Stegostoma tigrinum: one gene and its partner. The protein of the gene in region 1 interacts with the protein of each later gene in a biochemical or structural test. Links are inferred from orthologs where the notes say so. Each region holds a gene or a part of one and is shown in the gene's direction. Other genes may lie near its edges.

Region 1 (11,099 bases):
GGGGCTTCTTAAATTGGGAATGTTTACGTTAGAAAAACAAAGGCAAGGGAAATTTTGAGATAAAGTGTGGAGCTGGATGAACACAGCAGGTCAAGCAGCATCTTAGGATCACAAAAGCTGACGTTTTGGGCTTAGACCCTTCATCAGAAAAGGAGGAGGGGGAGAGGATTCTGAAATAAATAGGGCGAGAGGGGGAGGCGGACCGAAGATGGATAGAGGAGAAGATAGGTGGAGAGTATAGATGGGGAGGTAGGGAGGGGATAAGTCAGTCCAGGGAGGACGGACAGGTCAAGGGGGTGGGATGAGGTTAGTAGGTAGGAAATGGAGGTGCGGTTTGAGGTGGGAGGAGGTGATAGGTGAGACGAAGAACAGGTTAGGGAGGCGGGGACGAGCTGGGCTGGTTTTGGGATGCAGTGCGGGGAGGGGAGATTCTGAAACTTGTGAACTCCACGTTGATACCATTGGGCTGCAGGGTTCCCAAGCGGAATATGAGTTGCTGTTCCTGCAACCTTCAGGCGAGTCTGGAGTGGACAAGGGAGTCACAGAGGGAGTGGTCTCTCCAGAAGGCAGACAAGGGTGGGGATGGAAAAATGTCTTTAGTGGTGGGGTCAGATTGTAGATGGCGGAGGTGTTGGAGGATGAAGCATTGTCCTTTTGCAAGGGAAAATTTATTCACTTACTAGATATTTCAAGCAGTAAAATAAATTAAGGTCACCTAACACCAACGAAACAGATTGTAAGTGATTGGAGAGAGGCTGCTGAATATTTGGAACAATCCACCAGGAATAGTAGTATAAGAAAACTTTATCAAATAAATGAAGGAAGTTGATACACAACAGAGAATTGAGGAATTTAAGGATATATTCGATCCAACTGTATGCTTTAATATAACTTTGATCAGATAGTTTGAAATAGTTTCCACATTTGATCTTTCTAAATATCGTATAATTGCTTTAATGTATTGAATGTTTCAATTTATTGGAGGAAGAAGTTCTTTCTTCTGTGATAACGGTCCTCCAGAAGTCAAACCCTTCAATTTCAGACCTCTTTGACAAGACAACTGGATCTTTGTTTCTTTTGAATAAAACGAATGGGTCTTTTTATTTTAGGATTTGACCTAAAGTATTGTGTCAGTTTACATATGCATAAGCAAACTGACACAGTCCAAATGTGAGTCTAATTGTAACCGGGATATTGTTTCATTGAATTTAGAGAACACTTGGCCTTAACCCAGATGGAGGAGTCCATTTGGGAATAGCTATCTGAAAAAAAACTGTGCTGAGCCCAATAAAATCATTTTAAAGAGGAAGTCGTTCAGGTGCAAATTTTTGCAATGTGTTAATGAAATCAACCAACGATTCCATTGTGCCCAGTAAAAGAGTTTTATTTTCAAGAACTGATACTGAAAATTATAAGCAATACTACAATGAAAAAAATAAATGAAATAAAAAGCTTACATGAGACGTGGAAGTCAGTCACTCCAGAAGCATTTCATCAGGTGATTTTTTTTTCTCTGATCACCTAAATTATTGAAGTAATTTTGCTATCTGCTTTTACATCATGTTTCAAATTTTAAAACATCAATTCATCAGTGGGAGTGCTATGGAAAATGCAGAAAAGCGGCAATTTGAGGTTAACTGAAGTTGGAGCCTAAGATAGAACATAGAACATAGAACATTACAACACAGTACAGGCCCTTCGGCCCTTGATGTTGTGCCGACCTGTCACACTGATCTCAAGCCCATCTAACCTTCACGATTCCACGTACATCCATATGCTTATCCAATGACGACTTAAATGTACCTAAAGTTGGCGAATCTACTACCATTGCAGGCAAAGCGTTCCATTCCCTTACTACTCTCTGAGTAAAGTAACTACCTCTGACATCTGTCCTATATCTTTCACCCCTCAATTTAAAGCTATGCCCCCTCGTGCTCGCCATCACCATCCTAGGAAAAAGGCTCTCCCTATCCACCCTATCTAACCCTCTGATTATTTTATATGTCTCAATTAAGTCACCTCTCAACCTTCTTCTCTCTAATGAAAACAGCCTCAAGTCCCTCAGCCTTTCCTCATAAGACCTTCCCTCCATACCAGGCAACATCCGAGTAAACCTCTGCACCCTTTCCAAAGTTTCCACATTCTTCTTATAATGCGGTGACCAGAACTGTACACAATATTCCAAGATAACCAATCCCAAATCAAGCTCCACAGTCCTGAGCTCCGACTGCATTAATATCAGGCTCTGTACACCAGCGCCTAGTCAGAAAACATTACACAAACTTTCACTGAACAATTCATTCAAATGAGTTATTCTATTCAGGGGCAATGACCCTTCACAATTCGTTTTAAAAAAACCCTCACGCCTTCCCGTCGCACTAAAACAGAAGCAGCCATGTGTTGACATATCTTAGAAATCTTAATCCGCTCGCCAGCCAAACAAACAATGTTTACTGCAAAACCCTAAACACCAGAAAACAATGGTAAAAAGAGGGTTAGATTGGCTTAGTTTGGAGTTAATGTGAGTGATTGAGCCAATTAAATCATGAACAAAATAAAAACTCTTGAAATGCGGAAGAATCAGATTCATTTTCACTTACATCTGCCATCCCTTATAAATAATTCAGGAATAAAACAAAAGTATAAACATTCGGACATTAACTGTGCTGCGACAAAACAGAATGACGATTGCTTTTTGTTTATGGTAAGTTTGTGGTGACGTTCCCATTTTTTAAAAAAAAGAATGCTTTGTAATTTATGATGTTTCAATTTCCAAGAGAAAAACTCGACGGAAACCCAAATGTGGCTTTGATGGACTGAGGCGCAAAATGAAAAAAAACATACTTTAGTCCTTTCTAAACCATCCGCAAGTCGAAAGCTATTCATCGTGGCCCAGTGATTTTTCCTCTAAAACAAAATGATAATTTTAACGAGCACTAAATTCGAAATTAGAAGGGGGTGAGGAAATGTAAACCATACTTATCGTAAACATAGATCAGAAGGGATTAAGAATGTTTCCACCTAAATTTAAGTGAGGCATTAACTGTTAACATAAGGACGTCCTTGAAATGACCTCGTCATTAACTGGATTTGACTGCATTTATTTACCGGTATATGGGTTTTAACTCAAATTAAAATCCAAACATGTTATGAGGATGTCTATTCTCCTTAAGAAAATGTGAGCTAAAGCTTTCTAGAGACACTGATGATCATGATCACCAGTCAAACCGGTCTCTGCCTCCCTAACCTGTTCTTCCTCTCACCCATCCCTTCCTCCCACCCCAAACCGCACCTCCATCTCCTAACTACTAACCTCATCCCACCTCTTTGACCTGTCCGTCTTCCCTGGAGTGACCTGTCCCCTCCCTACCTCCCCACCTATACTCTCCTCTCCACCTATCTTCTTTTCTCTCCATCTTCGGTCCGCCTCCCCCTCTCTCCCTATTTATTCCAGAACCCTCTCCCCATCCCCCTCTCTGATGAAGGGTCTAGGCCCGAAACGTCAGCTTTTGTGCTCCTGAGATGCTGCTGGGCCTGCTGTGTTCATCCAGCCTCACATTTCATTATCGATGATCAGGTTTCTTAGCTCTTATAATTGACAACACCACTAACATCTTTAGTTAACTGCTGTGCCTCCATAACACTTGCATTTATATCGCACTTTACGGAATGCTGAATGCCTTAATTTTACGACCATTTGTTGAGGTGCTGTCACTGTTGTAGCTGTTGCTGATCAACCTGTTCAGATGGGGTATGGTCATACCGCTGGAGCAGTTGGGACTTGAACACTGACCTGGCAGAGAGCTGGGGACATTACCAGTGCACCACAAGAGTGTCTGATTTACTGTTGTAATCTGGGTGCAGTGAGACATTGGCAGGCCCTTCAAAGGAGCACCAGGGACACATTCTAACGCCCAGGCACATAAGGAGATTTCAGGACAGATAACCAAAAGCTTGATCAGAATGGATTTTTAAAGAGTCTCGCAAGAGTTTGAGAGGTGAGAGATTTTGCAGGGAATTCCAGCGTTTAGGATCAAGAAAATTAAAACCAGCGACGCACAAGAGACCCGAATCAGACGGAGGGCAGTTATATCAAGATAGAGATGGACAAGCCCGTGGGTGAAAATTTTTTTTAAAAAGGATAAGAACTTTGAAAGGTGACCTTACTAAACTGAAAGTCCTTGTAGGTCAGTAAACACAGGGATAACGTGTGAATGGGACTTAGTCCACGTTGGGGAATTAAAGACTCTCTACAGTGCGGAAACAGGCCATTCGGCCCAATACATCCACACTCCCCTTCCGAAGAGCATCCCATCCAGATCCCTTAGCCTATAACCATGTATTGCCCATGTCTAATCCACACATCTCTGAACACTATAGGATGTTGGCCATCTTTGTGAGAGTGGGAGCAAAGCGGACCATCCCGTGGGGATCACGCAGACACAGGGAGAATGTGCAAACTCCACACAGACAAAAATCGACTAAGTGTAGGACCGAACCTGGGTCCTTTGCGCTGAGGCAATGCTGCTCACCACTAATCTACTTCGGAAGTAATCAGTCTATCTTGGTTTCCCGCTGTTAATAATTCACTGCTTTCATAAACTTATTGATTTGGACTTCGTTAGAAGACCATCAAAATTTAACCTAGCCCCGCGCAACCTGTAATGCGTTGATTTTATGTAATATCTACAATTACATGAGAAAGTTAGTGAACTGGATAAGCGTGCCCATAAATAACTGAATGTCACATGATTTAGAAATCATTCTGAACGCTTAACAGAGATAACGGTACATAAATTTACCATTTGAATTGAATGGCAATTGCCTAAATTTCTCACTTTATTAATTTGTCTTCCAACTTATCCCGGAAGATTTCATTGTGAGGTGCAAACACAAAAGTCCGCATATATTTTACTATTGTTCTTTAAAGGACATCATTTACTTCAAAGGGATTGTTGGCACAATGTATATAGTTACTTAACAGAGAGAGGTGTATTCATTTAAGAGGCACTAAAAGTAGTCTCGCCAACCAGGCCGTCCTGCTGATGTATTGCAGCTGTCGTCCCGTCCTCACTTCGCTAAACCTGTTTATGACAATTTGATGAGACAGTGGACTTCGGTATTTGCTGAAACTCAAATTTAAAAATTCTAGAAAATGCATATATGAAATAAGTTTGGAAAGTTTTATACAAACTGTTCGCTCCGCACGTTCCCCTGCTCGCTGAATTGCGCATTCGCTGTGGCACTCGTCACTCCCACCCCCCACCCCAATGCGATCTGGCATGTGCTTGTATTAACAACAATCTATTTTGAAATGTAAACTCATATTTGTCTAGTATCTTGATGTGAAATATTCACTGTCCCATTTGGATCACTGTAGCTAGCACATTGCCTAACCCGAGTATAACATTAATTGATTTGATTTGAAATGTATCAAATATGAGAGCAAGTTGTTAGAGATGGGCCAGCACCAGTACGATCTATAGGGTCCTCCGGGCTTTAAACAGTTGGAGGAATACATGCTTTAAAGTCCACAAATTGACTGGGGACTATAGAATCGACGTATTTTCCTTCTTTATGGAAGCCTTGGGCGATTTTCAAAGACACATCTATAATAAAGAAAGTACAGACTTTCGTTGTTACTGTTGCCAATCACATTTTGCGTTATCCTTTGGTTCCCTCTTCCTGGGGCAGCACTGGGATTAGTCGCTTTATCACCAACCTCATAAAGAAACGCAGCTGGTTACGTTTGGTCAGTCTGACACTTGCTGTGAAACCACGACAAGAATTTCATCAAGTTGGCAACAATAAAACAAAAGAGCAACAAAAGAAAGCAAAGCCTAATGGAAGTTTTGAGACGTCTTTTTCTTCAAAGAAAAAAAAGGCTTTCGGGTCCATTCTGGCAAACTAAGCGATGGCTCGAGGTTCTTTTGGAGGGGGTGGGGGGGGGGGGTAGTTTGACTGATGATGAAGGGTGTGGGCTGTTTTGTTCTTTGTGGTGGGGATGTGTCAGGAAACTCATTGAATATGCTGATCTGCCCCTCGTGCTGTTATGTAGTGCAGCGCCAAGGCTTGACCCCGGTGCTGTGCCGTACCAACACCGAGCCGCCCTGAGCATGAATAGTCCCCCTGCGGTCGCTTGCATCACCAGACTTAGAAATAACGAAATCCAAGTATGCCTCTTGTGATAACGAGCAAATAGGCATCACAATTGGCAGAATCGTAAAATAATCGCACACATACACACACAATTAACAGTGCAAGTTAGTGACACGTAGCCAGTTGACCAAAAGCAATGTAAAATATAAACAATTCACTGCCGATAAGAAGTTGTGTTATCTAAATGGGGAGTGGGCAGTGATAAATATCACAGTAAATGTGCAATTCAGCGAGCAGCGGAACATGCAGAGCGAACAGTTTGTGTAAAACTTTCCTAACTTATTTCATAAATGCATTTTCTGGAATGAAAGTGCTTTCGTATTTGAATTTCACAACATACCAAAGTCAACTGTCTCGTTTAGAAAATCGAAATGAAGTGCAAGGATTTCTCTAGGTGGCTGTGCCAGTTTGTTTCTCCTAACCTATTGTTTGTCAGTACTGTGCTAATAACGGTTTAGTAGGGCATGCAGACATCTCCCTGTTAGAGGACTGGTGCTGAGTTATGCTGCTTCCGGGGCCTGGGTGCAGAGAACCTTAGTGCTGAACGGTTTTAGTGCAAACGCAATGTCCAAACTCTCGAACACGCCTTTTCCCAACTAGCATCAGGAGGAGGGAAAAAAGACAGCTCGGAGACCTACATCAACCAGGTTCCACAACCTTTACTTGCAAAGCCAGCTTCACCAGGAGCAGGGGAAGACTTCAAAACAAGGCTGCAGCATGGTCGGCCAGACGTTCTCACTTTTTCTTCTGGGAACTTTGCTTATAGTTCATTGTAGTTCAGAAGGTAAGAAGGTGCATAAGTTTGCCAACTTCTTATTTTTGGATATTTATTACAGCTATTCTGGTGAAGTGAATGATGAGTGTAATTTTATTCAATACGTTATTTAGATTTTTTTAAGAAATGCACTTTGTACATTTCTAGCATTACTTTTGTTGGAGTACAGCCTTTGGTATTTAAGAGATTTAGATATCAATTAATTTCAGATTGTTCTGGAATACAATATTAACTAGTAAGTTTAAAATAGTTTAACAGGGAAGAAAATAGCTAAGTTTAACAATTAGTTAGCACTCAAACTAACAGCTTTTCAAATTTACATCTACTAAAGAAATGAGCGAAAAGTACCAGGTAAAAACGCACGTTGATGGGAACCGTACGGCAAAATTCCGCCATTGACAATAAGCCGCATCGGTTCAACGGAAGTTCACGATTTTTCTAAAATAGTTTTGTAACAGAAAGAAACGATGTAATACGTTCAATTTCGACAAGATGATCCATGCATCAGGTGAAAGGTTTTACTGTATTTCAGCACAATTTGATTCTGTAAACTGATATTTTCTCTGCTGCACAAAGTTCCACTCAGCAGAAGATTTGCAATTTCTTCCTGGCGAACTTTTAGTGAGTTCCCTTGTTGCTAGGTAACATCGTTGCGCATGTGACTAGCAGACATAGCGAATCTGTTAATTGGTCTAGTGCCATTAAGTTGACTTCCAGATCCCTTTTCTACACAGTGTTGGCGAATTCATCACTCACTTTGCTCCAACCACGGTTACGTTACAGTGTGACTTCACGTCCCTTAATTGTGCAGGGAGACGTTGGAAATATTCTCAGAGCACCGTGTCTTGGGCACTGCCGCAACACTGTTGTGCGGTTCTCAAACTGCTCCATCTCTAATCTCTTTCCATGGCCAGTGTAATCTCCTTACAGTAAATCAAGTAACTAATTATACTACAGCCGCTCGAGAAAAGCAGACATCCTGTTTCAGAATGCTGTTCTGTGTAATGCTGAGTTAATATTCTTTATTCTGACTAAAGGGTTAACTTCTTTGGAAGGCAATTGCTTTAAATTACCCCTTATTTTAAGGAAGAACTTTTACTGTGCTCGGAAAGTACCTGCTCAAGTTTTATTTTGTTCCGGGCGGTAACCACGCAATCTTTAATTGACATGATTGTATGTTGTTTCCAGGATTGCAATAATTGGATTTCAAATACGTGTATGGGGTCACATTTAATGCAGATGCATCATTTTTCAGGTTTCTTGAATTTTGCAGATTATCAAAGCTGAGCCTCGATTATGCACATTTGATGGATGTCAGTTTCTCACGCACATATCAAAATTTGTTTTTGCTAAGTAAAATCACAAACTCAAGTAAAAAATTACTGCTGATCTTGGAGGGTGATATGTATAAAAATATATACCTTTTCCAATATTTTCTATTACTGACCCACAGCTTGAGTTCTTCACAAACCATCCAGCTGCACATCAGATTTCAGGATACTAGAGTTATGCTGTTGCTTGTGACTGGAAACAAGTTTGAAATTCCTTTTTGTATGCCTTGGTTTCTCCCCACCAATATTCACTTGGGTCAAGATCTTGAACTGGTTTTAGAGTAATACTGTAATTTTTACATTATTGCAAAGTAGACCCCACTTTGAAATAATGCAGGTGCCATTGTTTACATAAGGTATCTCAATCTAAATGCAAGACAGAAATATGCTATTTTCTTTATTACTTCAAATCAAGCAAGGCTAAAACATTTTTTACTCTAATTTGGCAGTTAAGTAGCAATACATGCATACCACATTAATGATAGATATTGTAGAATGATTGCAAAACAGCAAACCTGTAAAAAGCAGAAAAAAAGAACTGCAGATGTTGAAAATCAGAAACAATTAGAAATCTCTCTCTCTCTCTCTGGTCTCCATCTAATTATTGTTTACTGCTTCTCCTCTCCCACCCCTTCTCTACCATGTATTACCAATCATCCTCGCTACAGTCAGTTCCAAAGAAGTGTTCCTAGACCCGAAACATTAACTCTGCTTTCTCTCCACAGATGCTGCCAGAGCTGTTGAGTCTTTACAGCAATTTCAGATTTTGTAGCAATCACTAAGACATTGACTTGATATTTTAACATCTTTATAATCATACTTTGACCCTGCAATGATATTAAAACCTGAATATCTAGGTAACTTCATGAAATTTTAATATGCATACTATTTGATTCTTTGATTTTATTGGTAAGATAAATATATTGATAATATTATCCCTCACTCTTCTCAACTTTGGAGTATATAGTTCCAATCTCCTCTGTCATGCCTCTTAGGTTGGTTGCATCATTCCAGGAATTATCCTAATGATCCTTTGCTGCACTTTCCCTACTATACACCTCTATATTTGTACTCAAATCACCTTACAATAAAGATCATGTGCCTTCCTGATTGAAAGTTGGGGGGTGAGTGCGTGCGATGGTCTAGAGGTGTTATTGCAGACTGTTAATCTAGAGACCCAGACAGTGTGCAGCATAAGGTGCTGTTTGGCCTGCTGTCTTCATCCAGCTCTACACTTTGTTGTCTCAGATTCTCCAGCATCAGCAGTTCCTATTATCTCTAATGTTCTGGGGATCTGGGTTCAAATCTGACCATGGCAGATGGTGGAATTGAATTCAATAAATATCCAGAATTAAAAATCTGATGATGACCATGAATCCGTTGTCAATTGTTGGGGGGGGGGGGGGGGGCGGAAACCCATCTAGTTCACTAATGTCCTTTTAGGGAAGGATACTGCTATCCTTACCTGGTCTAGCCTACATGTGACTCCAGACCCACAGCAATGTGGTTGATTCATAACTGCCCTCTAGGCAATTAGGGATGGGCAATAAATGCTGGCCTGGCCAAAGACACCCTCCTCCCATGAATGATTAATGTAAGGCTAAGTTGCAGATTCAGCGGGCAGAGTCTTATGAACAATGACAGCCAGGTCCTTCTGGACAGCAATACTTACGAATCACTCAGCATTTAATAAATGTTCGGCACATCTCTTCTTCCTACCAAATTGGACAACTTAGTCACAGAGTCATAGAGCAGAGAAACAGACCTTTTAGTGTAAGTCATCCATGCTGATCAACTTTCCCAATCTAAACTAGTCCCATTTGACCAATATCCTTCCAAACCCTTCCTATTCATGCACCTGTCCGAATGTCTTTTTAAATGTTGTAACTGTACCTGCATCCACCATTTCCTGCAGCAGTTCATTCCACATATGAACTACCCTCTCTGTTTAAAAAGTTGCTCCTCAGGTCCCAGTTAAATCCTTCTCCTCTCACCTTAAAAATATGCCCCCTAGTTTTGAACTCCCCATCCAGGAGTATGATGGAATACTCTCACTTGCCTGAATGGGTTTAGCTTCAACAACACTCAAGACACTTGACACTATCCAGGTCAAAGCAGCCTGCTTGATTGGCACCACATCTACAAGCATTAACTCCCTCCACCATGGACTCTCAGTAGCAACGGTGTTTACTATTTACAAGATGCACTGCAGAAATTCACCAAAGATCCTCAGGCAGAACTTTACAAACCCATGGCCATTTAGAAGGACATGGGCAGGAAACATATGGGAACACGACCAGCTTCAAGTTCCCCTCCAGGTCACTCACCATCCTGACTGGGAAATATATTGTCGTTCCTTAACGGTCACTGAGTCAATACCCTGGAATTACCTCCCTTATAGCATTGTGGGTCAACCCACAGCAGGAGGACTGCAGCAGTTCAAGAAGGCAGCTCACCACCTTCTCAAGAACAACTAGGGATGGGCAGGAAATGCAGCTCAGCCAACCATGCCTACATCCCATAAATGATATTAAATAAATCTCATACAGAGTCTAGAAATTTCCCTTTCACAGCATTTGTGCTCATTAGATTTACCCAGACCATACATGGGGTTATATCAACAATGATAATTGCATTACCCTTGCCATGTGACCTGTCATTTCTAGATTTATGCCATGCCATTCGTGGCCTATAAACAATGCTTGATGCCCCTTGAAACCCTGTTACTTCATTTGACCCAACTAGATTCTACATTTTGTTCTTCTCTCAATACCAAATAAGAATCTCTCTCAGTAAGTTACTTTGATCCCATCTTTCATAACCTGCACTACTCC
Region 2 (11,236 bases), on another chromosome or scaffold:
ATTTTATTATCTTGGAATTCTCCAGCATCTGCAGTTCCCATTATCTCTTATCCGCGAGGAAGAAGTTATTGTTTTCATTATTTCTTGCTATATGATAACATTTTGTCAAAAACACACTAGCGTTAGGTATTTTTTAAAACTGTGAAATCAATTCAGTAGCATTGCTCATATGTGCGTTTGATTAGTACTTGTGATTAGTAAAAATAAGTAGCAACCCAAGCTTAAAGTTTCAGTATTATCAATGCTAGTTTAATCATGGGCAATTCTAGAAACATACATATTAAAATATAAAATGGTACAAGCTCTATTCAAATGAGAAGTGAATGTATAAAAGGCTAGATGTCAGTGTTTTATTATATTTCCCTCACTGTTGGGATGTGTAAATAAAGTAAGTTCAGTAACATTTGTCTGCAGTTGAGCATGTGCTGGTGTAATACACAACAACTATCAGCTTAGCTTGAATACCTAGTTGATGAGTACTGGTAGGGTTATACGATTGAAGGAGCATTACTACCAAGGTCACGCCTGTCTCACCGAAATTCACAAATATTCTGTTTCTAGTTGGGACCTCTTAATTGCAGAAACACCTGATATTCACCACGCAAATGTGGTAGGATCTTTTGCAGATCAAAAATTCTACAAGAAATTGTGCTCTCAACTGCTTCCTCGGATTTGTTCGGATGTAACCTGGGCTCAGCACCTTGAAACGCTGGAACAGCCGCACTTGCTCAGCCCTTCAAGCTTGTTTGGTCATTCAAATAGATCACTTTGAACCTGCACCCAAACTGCAGCGACCTACACTTATGTCATTGCACTCCATAATCAGACCTCTTAAATGTTAATCTCTCTCTCTGTACCTTCTGTGTGGCTATAACATTATATACTGCACTCTGCCCTGCTACCCTGATGTACTTTTATATGCTACAATCTGCCTGCATAGCACGCAAAACAACATTTTCCATTGTATCTCCGTACATGTGACAACAATAAATCAAACTCCTGCCTGGATCGTAGATTTCACATTATTAATTGAGTCAGCATCTATTGCTGTTGTTGGGACAGAGTTCCACATATTTACCGTCCTTGACAGAAGATGCATTTCTCCTAAATGTTGAATTTGATTTTTAAGAAAAAAATCCAAAACTAAGACCTTAAAAGTAAACAAGGAAAACTACAAACGTATGAGGTGCAAATTTACTTGGGGTGGATTGGGGAAATACTGTAGTTAGTATTTAATGAACTTATGCATTGTTTATAACATACATTGCTTTAAAGCATAGAAATTCAACAGGAAGAGCAAAATATCCATGGCTAACAACTATGCTTAAAGAATATATTAGACCAAAGGAGAAGGCAGATCAAGTTACCAAAATGTAGCAAGCCTGAAGATTAGGGGCAATTTAGAATTTGTCAAAAGATTATCAACAACTTGGCACAGAATAGGAGATTAGAATGTGAATGTAAATCAGCAAGAAACCTATCAAAAAAACTCAAAACTCCTCTAGGTATGTAAAAAGAAGATTATCAAAAGCAAAGGTGAATTTATTACAGGCAGACACCGGAAAATGTATAATGGGGAATAAGGAAATGACAAGAAGATAAATAATTACTGTGTCTATCTTTGTGGACAAGACGAAAGAAATCTCAGAAATAATAGATCCAAGATGTTAATGGAAAGAATCTAGCTTTTGTAAGAAATAGTACTGGAGGAATTAGTGACACTGAAAGTTGGCAAATCCTAGGGACCCATAAAACCTACATCCTAGAACGTTGATAGAGATGGCCACAGAGATGGTGGATTGTAAAGGTGATCATCTTTCAAAATTCTATTGGTTTGGGACTGTGTTTGCAGGTTGCAAGGTGGCAAATGTAACTACTATTTCGACAATGGAAGAAGGGATAAAACTCCAGTTAGCCCAATGTCAGCTGTTGAAAAATACCAGAATCTGTAACAAAGGATGTGATAAATGGACACCTAGAAAATAATGATTTGATTGAAGTAAGCCAATATAGATTTATGAAGGGGATATAACATTTGACAAATCTGTTTTAACATGTTTCTAATGAGTAGATAAGCGGAAACCATGAGATGTGGTATTTTTGGGTTTTCAGATGACTTTCTATAAAAGACTCAGACAAGAAGTTAGTAAACAAAATTAGAACTCATGGGATGAGGGTTAGTGTTCTGGCATAGGTTGCGGTATTATGAACTGGAAGAAAACAGTAGGAATAAATAGGTCATTCTCAGGTGAGTAGGCTGTAAGGTCCTAGTGAGGTGTTGCATGGATTAGTGTTTGAACCACAGCTTTTCCTGTTCTATATCAATGTTGTATGTCTGGAGCAAAAGTAACGTATTCAAGTTTGTGGATACCACAAAGTAGGCGGGAATGTGTTACATGAGAATGTTGCGAAGAGGTTTCACTTGGTTTTGGACAGGCTGAGTGAGTGGGCAAGAATATGACAGACAGACGATAATGTGGATATGCGCAAGATTTACCATGTTGGTAGGAGGAACAGTAGTGAACAGTGTATTTGTTAAATTGTGTGAGCTTGAGAAATGTCTAATGTATTTACTAAATGGTGTGAGATTGGGAAATGTTCATATTTAATAAGAACTGTGTTTCCTTGTTAACAAATCACTTAAAGCAAACATGTATGTGCAACAAGCAATCAGGAAGGCAAATGGTATATTGACCTTTATCTGAACAGGATAGGAGTACAGGATTCAATAGTATAGAACCTTCATAAGACCCAACCTGAAGAAGTGTGTGGAGTTTTGTTCTGTTAGCTAAAGGAGGACATACCTGCCACAGAGGTAATGCAATGGAGGTTCACTTGACTAAAATATGGGATGATTAGTCTATGAGGCAATTCAGGAGCTGGGATTCTATTTTCTACAATTTAGAAGATGGAGAGTTTATTACACTGAAACTTAAAGCACTCATAAAGAGATAGACAAATTAGAGGCAGAAAGGATGTTCCCTCTGGCTGGTGGGTGCTCTCGAACCAAAGGTCACAATCTCAAAATAAGAGACATGCCATTTATTACAGAAGTGAGAAGGAACATCTTCACTCAGACAGTGGTGAATCTTTTGAATTATCTGTGCAAGAGACCTTCAGAAGCTCAATGTTCAAAATTGAGATAGATGGAATTCTACATATTAATGATATCAAAGACTAGGGGGATGGTGCAGGAAAATAGTGTTGAGGCAGGTGATCAGCCATGATAGAGAATGGCAGAGCAGGGTATGGCCTACTCCTGCTCCTGTGTTCTTATCCTCCCACCAGCAGAAAACGTTTATTTCTGAGGTAGTCGACTTGCTCGCCGAGCTGGTTTGTTTTGTTCAGATGTTTCGTCGCCATGCTAGGTGACATCATCAGTGGAGCCTCCAATGAACTGATGTTATTCTACTCCATTTGGAACTTATACTGTCCAGTCCATTATGGTGAGTGCTGTCATTTCCGGTTTTGATCTGTATGGGTTTCTATATGTACAGATCAAAACCAGAAATGACAGTGCTCACCATGCCAAGCCGGACAGTATAAATTCCAAGCGGAGTAGAACAATATCACTTCAGCGGAGGATCCACTGATGGTGTTACCCAGCACGGCAATGAAACATCTGAACAAAATCAAGCCAGTTCGGTGAGCAAGTCAACAACCTCACCCACAACTCGAGCTACAGACCTTTAAACTTTAAAGTTTATTTCTGCCTATCTTACCAATTATGTTCAAAATATTAAAATCCTTAATCAAATTACTTTTTGATGCCAGAGAGCACAAGCCTAGTTGAATTTCTGAAAGTATAGATGAAGCAAGTATAATTGTGGTATATAACTGTATAATTCAGAAAGGGTTTGAGAAAAACACCTGAAACATAAAACAAAAATCACAGAAGTAGGGATACATGTGAAGGAATAGGATAATGTGATTTCCTCTACAAATAGCCAGCCCACACACAGCAGGTCAAATGACCACTGTCTGTATTGTAACCCTTCGGTGACTCAAGTTGCTGTAAATCTCTCCTCGTAATTTAATTGTTTAACTCCTGGTAATATCCTGGTGTATCTAAAATGCACTGGTTCCCAGAACAATGTATATTTTCCAAGATGGGACGCCAAGAACTGTAGACAGTGGTCCAGCTGTGATCTAAGCAAGGCTTTGTCTAACTGCAGCTATATGTTCTAATCTACTAGTTATTAAATGATTACATTCCACTAGTTATTTGGATTATTTAGGAAAAGGAGTTGCTTTAGTGTTAAAATGACACATTTAATTGATTAGTGCAATTTCTTTGACAAGAATGCTCCATCCTCAATGCTATTCACAAATATTATATGCACAATGTTTTAACAATTACAAACAGACATTGCATTAAAAATTACATGACAAATCATCTTGTTTCTCAATAACTGCGCTACAGTAGAAATTGTTCTGAAAATGATTAATACAATCCGACAGCAACAATGATGACATAATAGGGTAACAATCAAACTTAATCCAACATTCTAACATAAGCACTTGGCTGCTGTAAAACGTCTTGGGCTGTACTTGCAACAAGAATAAGAGCGCAGAGACATGCAAATAAAATATAAACATATGCATTTTAATGCTGACCACATTAATAGAGCTGCAATGATGAAAAACGAGTAATGAAAGAAAATGCTGCGTGCCCAAACTTTTCAGCAAAATGAAACGGAGATAAAATACTAACCTTTCATGTTCTGTTATTATACTCTATCTGCAATAAACGCCTGTTGCATCTCACCATGAAAAAACCTTCCTTGGAGAGTTAGCCAGACAAGAACTTCCTGTAATTCAATAAAGGTTCAAGATAACGTTGAAATGAACATAAGCACTGAACGACGAAGACGGGCAATCTGTTGCAAAAAAACACTAAATAGTCTGAAGTACAGATTTAATTATGATCGTTTTATTTATACATTTTAAAAAAGTTAACAGACTTTTTTGGTTTTCAAAGTACGTCATGATTACATACCTAGCTGTCGGCTAACTTTCCTTCATGAAAACATGTCTGAGAAACGCAGACTGCAACTAAAATCTTGCACTAATCTTACTTGTTCTGGAGCCTAAATAAACATCCTCACTTTTTGAAAAAAAGGCTGGACGTTTTTGCCCAGGCGATATGTTTCACGTTTGGAGAACCGTGACCTTGGCTCATTGCACTCAAATATTTCCAGGGAAGCAGCGACCATGTTGCCAGTTTGCACGGTAACCGCAGTGGGGGGACGCTAATTGTAAACAAATGCATTTGAAAATGACAGGGGGTTAAAAACATCACTTTACATTAAACGTTCTGATCAGAGCTTTCAAAGTATGCAAAAGTCATCGTTCAAAGTTTCTTTCAGCCTTATTGGAAAGAAAACTCTAGCAATACATAAAGTGTAAAGAGACGTATATGCAAAACTCATCCTTTCGAAACTAACGTGAAAAAAAAATTTTTCAATGCCTGGTTCTCTTCATGCTTGTCAACATTAGAAGATAATATTTCTCAACAATTCCCGGCAAGTTTATAAAACTAAAACTCATCATGATCAGGATCTACATTTCTACTAGTCATTTAACCTGATTTAAGTGATTTCCTCTGCCTTTGAGTCACATAAACGCTCTAAGAAGCGATGATGATGAAAGGTAATTGACTGAGAAACACAATACAACGCCCTGCTGTTTGTGGAAGACGCCCCAGGTCGCTTCACGCTTTATAAGCCTGTGTCGTGTTGCCCACTGCTGGATCTTCGCAGCATTGGCACTAAGCGTTTGGATTCTAGTCATTCGGGTTTTATTTTCCATCGGGATGAGACAGTCCATGTCGATTTTTCCAGAAAGTCCCAGAAAGCTATTCAACATTGCGTATTGGTGACTCAACAAAAATGTAAATGTAACCTTGAGTACCAGGATAAAAAGGTCCAGGACTGCTGCGCGAAGCGGAGATCAAGAGCAGGGACAGATCTCTATGCAAGGTAGGACACAAGAAAGCATTTATTTTACAATTGCTAATAGTTTGGGAGGGGACTGTTGACTGGTATTGCATCAAAAAGGATATCTTATTTTAAACAATGCAAGTTTTCTTTTAATTGAACGATCCTATTTGGAAATATATTGTTCTAAAACATTAAAGAGTGCACTGAATGATTAGCAATGCAGTGTTAGACGTAGCCGACAGTAAATTTATTGCCTATAGCATTGGTGGTCAAATTGACACTGGAGCAATTAAACTTTAAAAAGTAAAAAAAAGGAACAGGCTGAAATATATTGCAGATGATATGTTGATATTAATTTTTATATATTTGAAGGAATTGATGTAAATGGCATCCTGTTATATAACTTACGTCTTATCAATCAGAGCCGGAGTTGCAATAACCGTTTTCTATCCTAAAGTTAGGAACTGAGTTGACGAATCTTAACATTTGGCGTGTACTTATAACTAATTTGGCAAGTTATTGTGAGCTCTCTGCCATTAATACTCGAGGTAAGACCGCAGAATGCATGTACAGGCCTGTGATACTCTAATTAGTCTAAAGAAACGTCTTACTTCAGTTGTTGCCCCAAGGAATTCCACAGCGTAGTCCAGTGTCATTGTTTACACTTTGTCTCATTGTTTACAGTTTGGGCACATCATTGTAAATCGATGTAGCTGCTCCACCTTGCGTCAAGAAATGAGTAAGGCATTAGGCACACAAAGCCTGCATTATTTGCCGAATTCAAAAATAAACAGGAACATTGTTCTTGTCCTTCAGAGATTAATAACAGCTTGTAGATTTTGACTTTACAGTAAGTTCAAAATCTGTTTGCAGAAAAATTCCAGCTTAAGTAAAACGCACATTTTGCTGCCTTTAAAAAATTGCAGTCATTGAAGAACTAGAAGTACTGTGACGAGTTTGGCTAAATTGACAGATATATAAACATTCTACCAAAGGAATGGGAAATTGGTTGGAAAAGGGGTGGTGGCACAGTGCAAGGATAAGATCCCATGGTGCATTTCCTACAGTGTGATTTTATTTTAAATTGCTCATTATCTGTCTTGGGTGCATATGCTGGATGTGAAAAGTTTTGAACAACATAACAGTGTAGCATTTCCCTTCCCTGTCTCTTACTGAAGACAGAAATTTGGACAAAGAGACGCAGTGGAGACGGGAAGAATTGTGTGGGGGGGGTGAGTCTCTGCTTCGTGGTTGCTACTAACATGCCCCACCCAGTTCTCACCATTGCATAAACTTGGGAAGAGGAGCAAAATAGAGAAAATCGGTTAAATAAATAAACAAGGTACCATTCTTAACCGTTATTAATAGGGCTATTGTAACAATATGCTGAAAACATGATAATGGAGTCAGCTTTTTTCCTTGCTGGTTATCATTTAGAATAGTCAAGGTTATTGTTCTAGTTGTTGGCTCACTGCCAGACTGCAGTTGTACGTTTCTAGTCTGCTGCAGACTGACTGCATCTCAGAGGGAGTATTTTAAAACAGGGAGACTTAATATGCTGATTTTTATGTTTACCCGAACAGCTGCCCCGAAGAGAGGCAGAACATTGATCATTTCAAATAATTTGTGCTGATACCAAGAGCGAACTGGGAGCATTAAGCTGTTTGGATACTGATCTACAAAATGATAGCTTCACAAGCTAGATAAGGGCACCAAAAAATCTAAGTGCTGAAAATTAATGTTTATAAAGACCTGCAGTGTAGCATTTTATTCAGGCCTTAGACAACCGTTAGTCATAAAATGTTGCAAATTCTCTGCATTCATGAAGAGGGAACACGCATTAGCATTTCAAGTCTGTGACCTTTCATCAGGGCAGTTTTGAGTATTTCCAGCATTTTCCAGTTTTTCACTTCAGATTTCTGGAGTATTTTGCTTTTGTAAAATATTAGATGTTTTGTTTTTAACGTAACTGCTTTTAGGTGTAGGCGATTCCATTTTTAATGTGAACATTGTAGAAAACAATAGATCCTGCTGTGTATAGTTGGGAAGCAATCCTTGATGCCTTTCACTTTAAATCATCGAAATCAGCAATAACTAGGATTTAGTGAAGATTGCTTGTAATGGAATTTATAGCTGTGTCTGTTAAGTCTGCGGCTTCAAGTAAAGATGAGGATTAATTATAATGCACCGTGGAGGAGTAGAATGTGGAACCCCAAACTCTTCTGTAATGCTCATCAGGCAGATTGCGGGGTGAAAAGAAAGGCTCATAATCTCAACCGGTGCTGCATGGTCAACAGCCTTTTTTTAGTTTGCTTTTAGGAATAGTCACAGTTTTAATGTAGGAAATGTGGTGATGTTCCAAACAAACTTTGGCACAACACTAAAATTGACCAGTTTACTTTCCTTTTTGTGATGTTAATAGGGAGATAATTATTGGCCAGGATACAGGGAAACTTCCTGTCTGTCCTTCAGAATGGCTAAAAGTGCAGACTGGCCTTCAGTTCAACATCTCATTTCCAGCATCTCCAATTGTATAGCACATCCTGAGAGTGACAGTATAGAAACTGTGCATAAATTTATGAAGTGGGGCCTAAATCAGCACCTTCCAGGCTTAAAGTTGGGCAACACTTGCAACTGAGTCAACATCTGACAATGCAGGATGAATTTGCATTTTAAGAGTCAGAACAGCCATTTGTGACAATGACATAATAGCAATTCGACTGTTAATATTAACAGTTATATCTAGCATCAATATAAAATATAACCAGTATCTATGAGCAAAAAAAATTCATAGCATTTTCTAGCAGAACACATTAATATTTCATTTTGAATCTTTGCCTAGGGTCTGTTTTATTGGATCAAGCTGCAGAAATTTAAAACTATGCCCAGAAAACCTTAGAATGATACTAGAAGCTTACCCGCGCCCCCCCCCCCCCCCCCCCCGCCAGATGAAAATGATACAGTTGTAATGCTGGTTGTAAATATGCTCAGAAATTCATTTGGAAGTTGGACCCGAGTGACCCAGGGATTAGTGTGACTAGATTTCTTTCTAATTTATCAGACGTCATAGGTGATACAATATATAACGATAAATTAACGTGCTTTGGCTGCAGCACAATCCGATCACAAAGCCAAATGATTTAAGAATGGTTAACTTTTTTATTTTAAACAAGCAGGTGTGGATGTCCAAAGTTGAAGTGGAACATAGTTCCTAAAGTAACTTGGACACCAGAGATTGAGCCACAGAAACATAGTTGCACACTCCGTTCAAAACTTGGATATAGACGAGATAACCGAGTACGGCTGTCATAATTCGCCATCAAGGAATATCTAAGGATCTCCAGTTGGCAAGATAATTGATGCATTTCAAAGAAAATCTCTTTTAGATGAGTTAACTCCATAAGAATCTATAATACTTTCAATTCTAAAATAAAGTCTAATTGGAGCTTTCTTTCCTCTTTTAAAATAATCAGTTCTGTCTTATGAAAAATCAAACTGAGGAAGACCATTCATTCCACCCAGCTGACTCCTGCGTAAAGTCACCACAGTCCCATTCTGTCTCTCTTGTTGGAGAGTGACAACTGTTGGTGGCTTAACATGAGGTTCACCGTGCCACAGGCAAAGGGAGAGGTTGAGAAGGAGAATCGGCATAGTGCTCAGTAGTTAGCATTGCTCCCTCACAGTGCAAGGGACCCATATTCGATGACACCCTCTGGCAACTGTGTCTGTGTGGTGTTTCCACATTCTGTCAATGTGTGTGTTTTTGTCTGGGTGCTTCAGTTTCCTCCCACAGTCCAAAAATGTGCAGGTTCGTTGGATTGGCCATGCTAAATTGCCCATTGTGTCAAGGGTATGTGCAGGCTATGGGAAATGCAAGGTTACAGGGATATGGTAGGGGGTGAGACTGGGTGGGATCCTCTTTGGACGGACAGCATGAACTCAATGGGCCAAATGGTCTGCTCCCACATTGTAGAGATTCTCTGATTCATGGTAACCTCAGCGTGTGCAGGAATCGAATCCATACTGTTAGTATCTCTGGGCACTGCAAACAATCAGCCAGCTAACTCAGCTAACCAACCCAATATACAAACTTATGGGTTTCCCAAAGTATCGAAACTAACTGTGATGCTAATGGCTGAGAATCAGACCATTCCTTTCTAAGGAGCCTAAAAGGGTTCTGTATGATGGAGAACCATTATAGAGAATGGTGCAGAGCTTTTTCAACTGATTAGTTTATACCACTACAGCTCTGACACAAACCATTTATTGACAATTATGATCAAAATTCAATTTGTCCCACTTCTGTTTACTTAATACACAGCATCATAAATGCTTTTCCACTTTCATCATCCAACCTACATCTGCCTTCATCAGATTTGTAAGTACCATTCATTTATTTGGTGGTTGATGTTGTAACAGAGACTGTTCAGAATGTTTAGCTTGTACATCACGTGAGTTGGATCATCCATTTGCACTTTGTTAATGAATAGCTCACTGTTTGAACCCTGAGTAGCTGCAGTTTGGGCAAATGTTACTTCTGTTCCTTTGACCTTTGGCCTGCACCCTATTCCAGTAAACAGAATCAACTGTTTTTTCTACTTGTTCAGCGACACAATTATTTGACTCCTGTCTCTCCTCCTGTCAAATCCTGAGAATTCAACATGCACTTAGCCCACACCATGTTCTCAATCTTGGTGATTCCAACTTCCATATCAGCTCATCTTGATCTTAATCATTCTGGGATCACTGTGCTGCAATCCTCCAACATCCATATTAATTTCTCCGCGCGTATACATATCAGCCTCTCAGCCATGTCATTTTCCTTTTTCTGCATCATCGTTAACATCATCTTTGATCATCTTCCTTATTCCTTCCAACCCAACTTCTTCCGGTGTCCACTCTTAGGGGGTAACAATATTCCTTACACGACACAATTCTTTACAATCTAGGTCTTAAATCCATTGTTCTCCTGTATACTTCCTCAGCCATGAGTTTACTGCATAGCAGCCTGACCCACCAAAACCCTTATCTTACCTGACCCTGACCATTGCTGGGGCTCCTGCTGTACTCTGCTCAAACTACTTGTTACTCCAGCATTGTTCTGAAGTTCAAAGATTCTAAAGGGGGTGTAGGAACAGAGAAAGTTGGGGTGCTCACATGTCGCAAATCCTTGCAGGTGGTAAGTTAATGAGGCTTTTTTAAAAGTATGTTGGGGGGCATTACAAATGGAGGAATGGAGTACAAAAACAAAGATGATTCCCATGCTGTTAGCCCTGAAATAAGTCTTGATAAAA

Evidence for each region.
Region 2: the proteins of lrp2a (region 1) and clu form a complex in vitro, tested with the Homo sapiens proteins (3 studies listed by BioGRID). The link is inferred for Stegostoma tigrinum from reciprocal best matches to the Homo sapiens genes LRP2 and CLU.

What each region holds. Positions count from the first base shown.
Region 1 is NC_081360.1:65,297,755-65,308,853, reverse strand, and holds the start of lrp2a (low-density lipoprotein receptor-related protein 2a), read left to right. Parts: upstream 1-6,840; 5' UTR 6,841-6,876; coding exon 6,877-6,943; intron 6,944-11,099. UniProt on the Homo sapiens protein: Multiligand endocytic receptor. Acts together with CUBN to mediate endocytosis of high-density lipoproteins. Mediates receptor-mediated uptake of polybasic drugs such as aprotinin, aminoglycosides and polymyxin B.
Region 2 is NC_081357.1:56,011,069-56,022,304, reverse strand, and holds the start of clu (clusterin), read left to right. Parts: upstream 1-5,757; 5' UTR 5,758-5,981; intron 5,982-6,553; exon of another isoform or gene 6,554-6,674; intron 6,675-11,236. Other genes in the region: scara3 (scavenger receptor class A member 3), read right to left, coding at 4,715-4,721.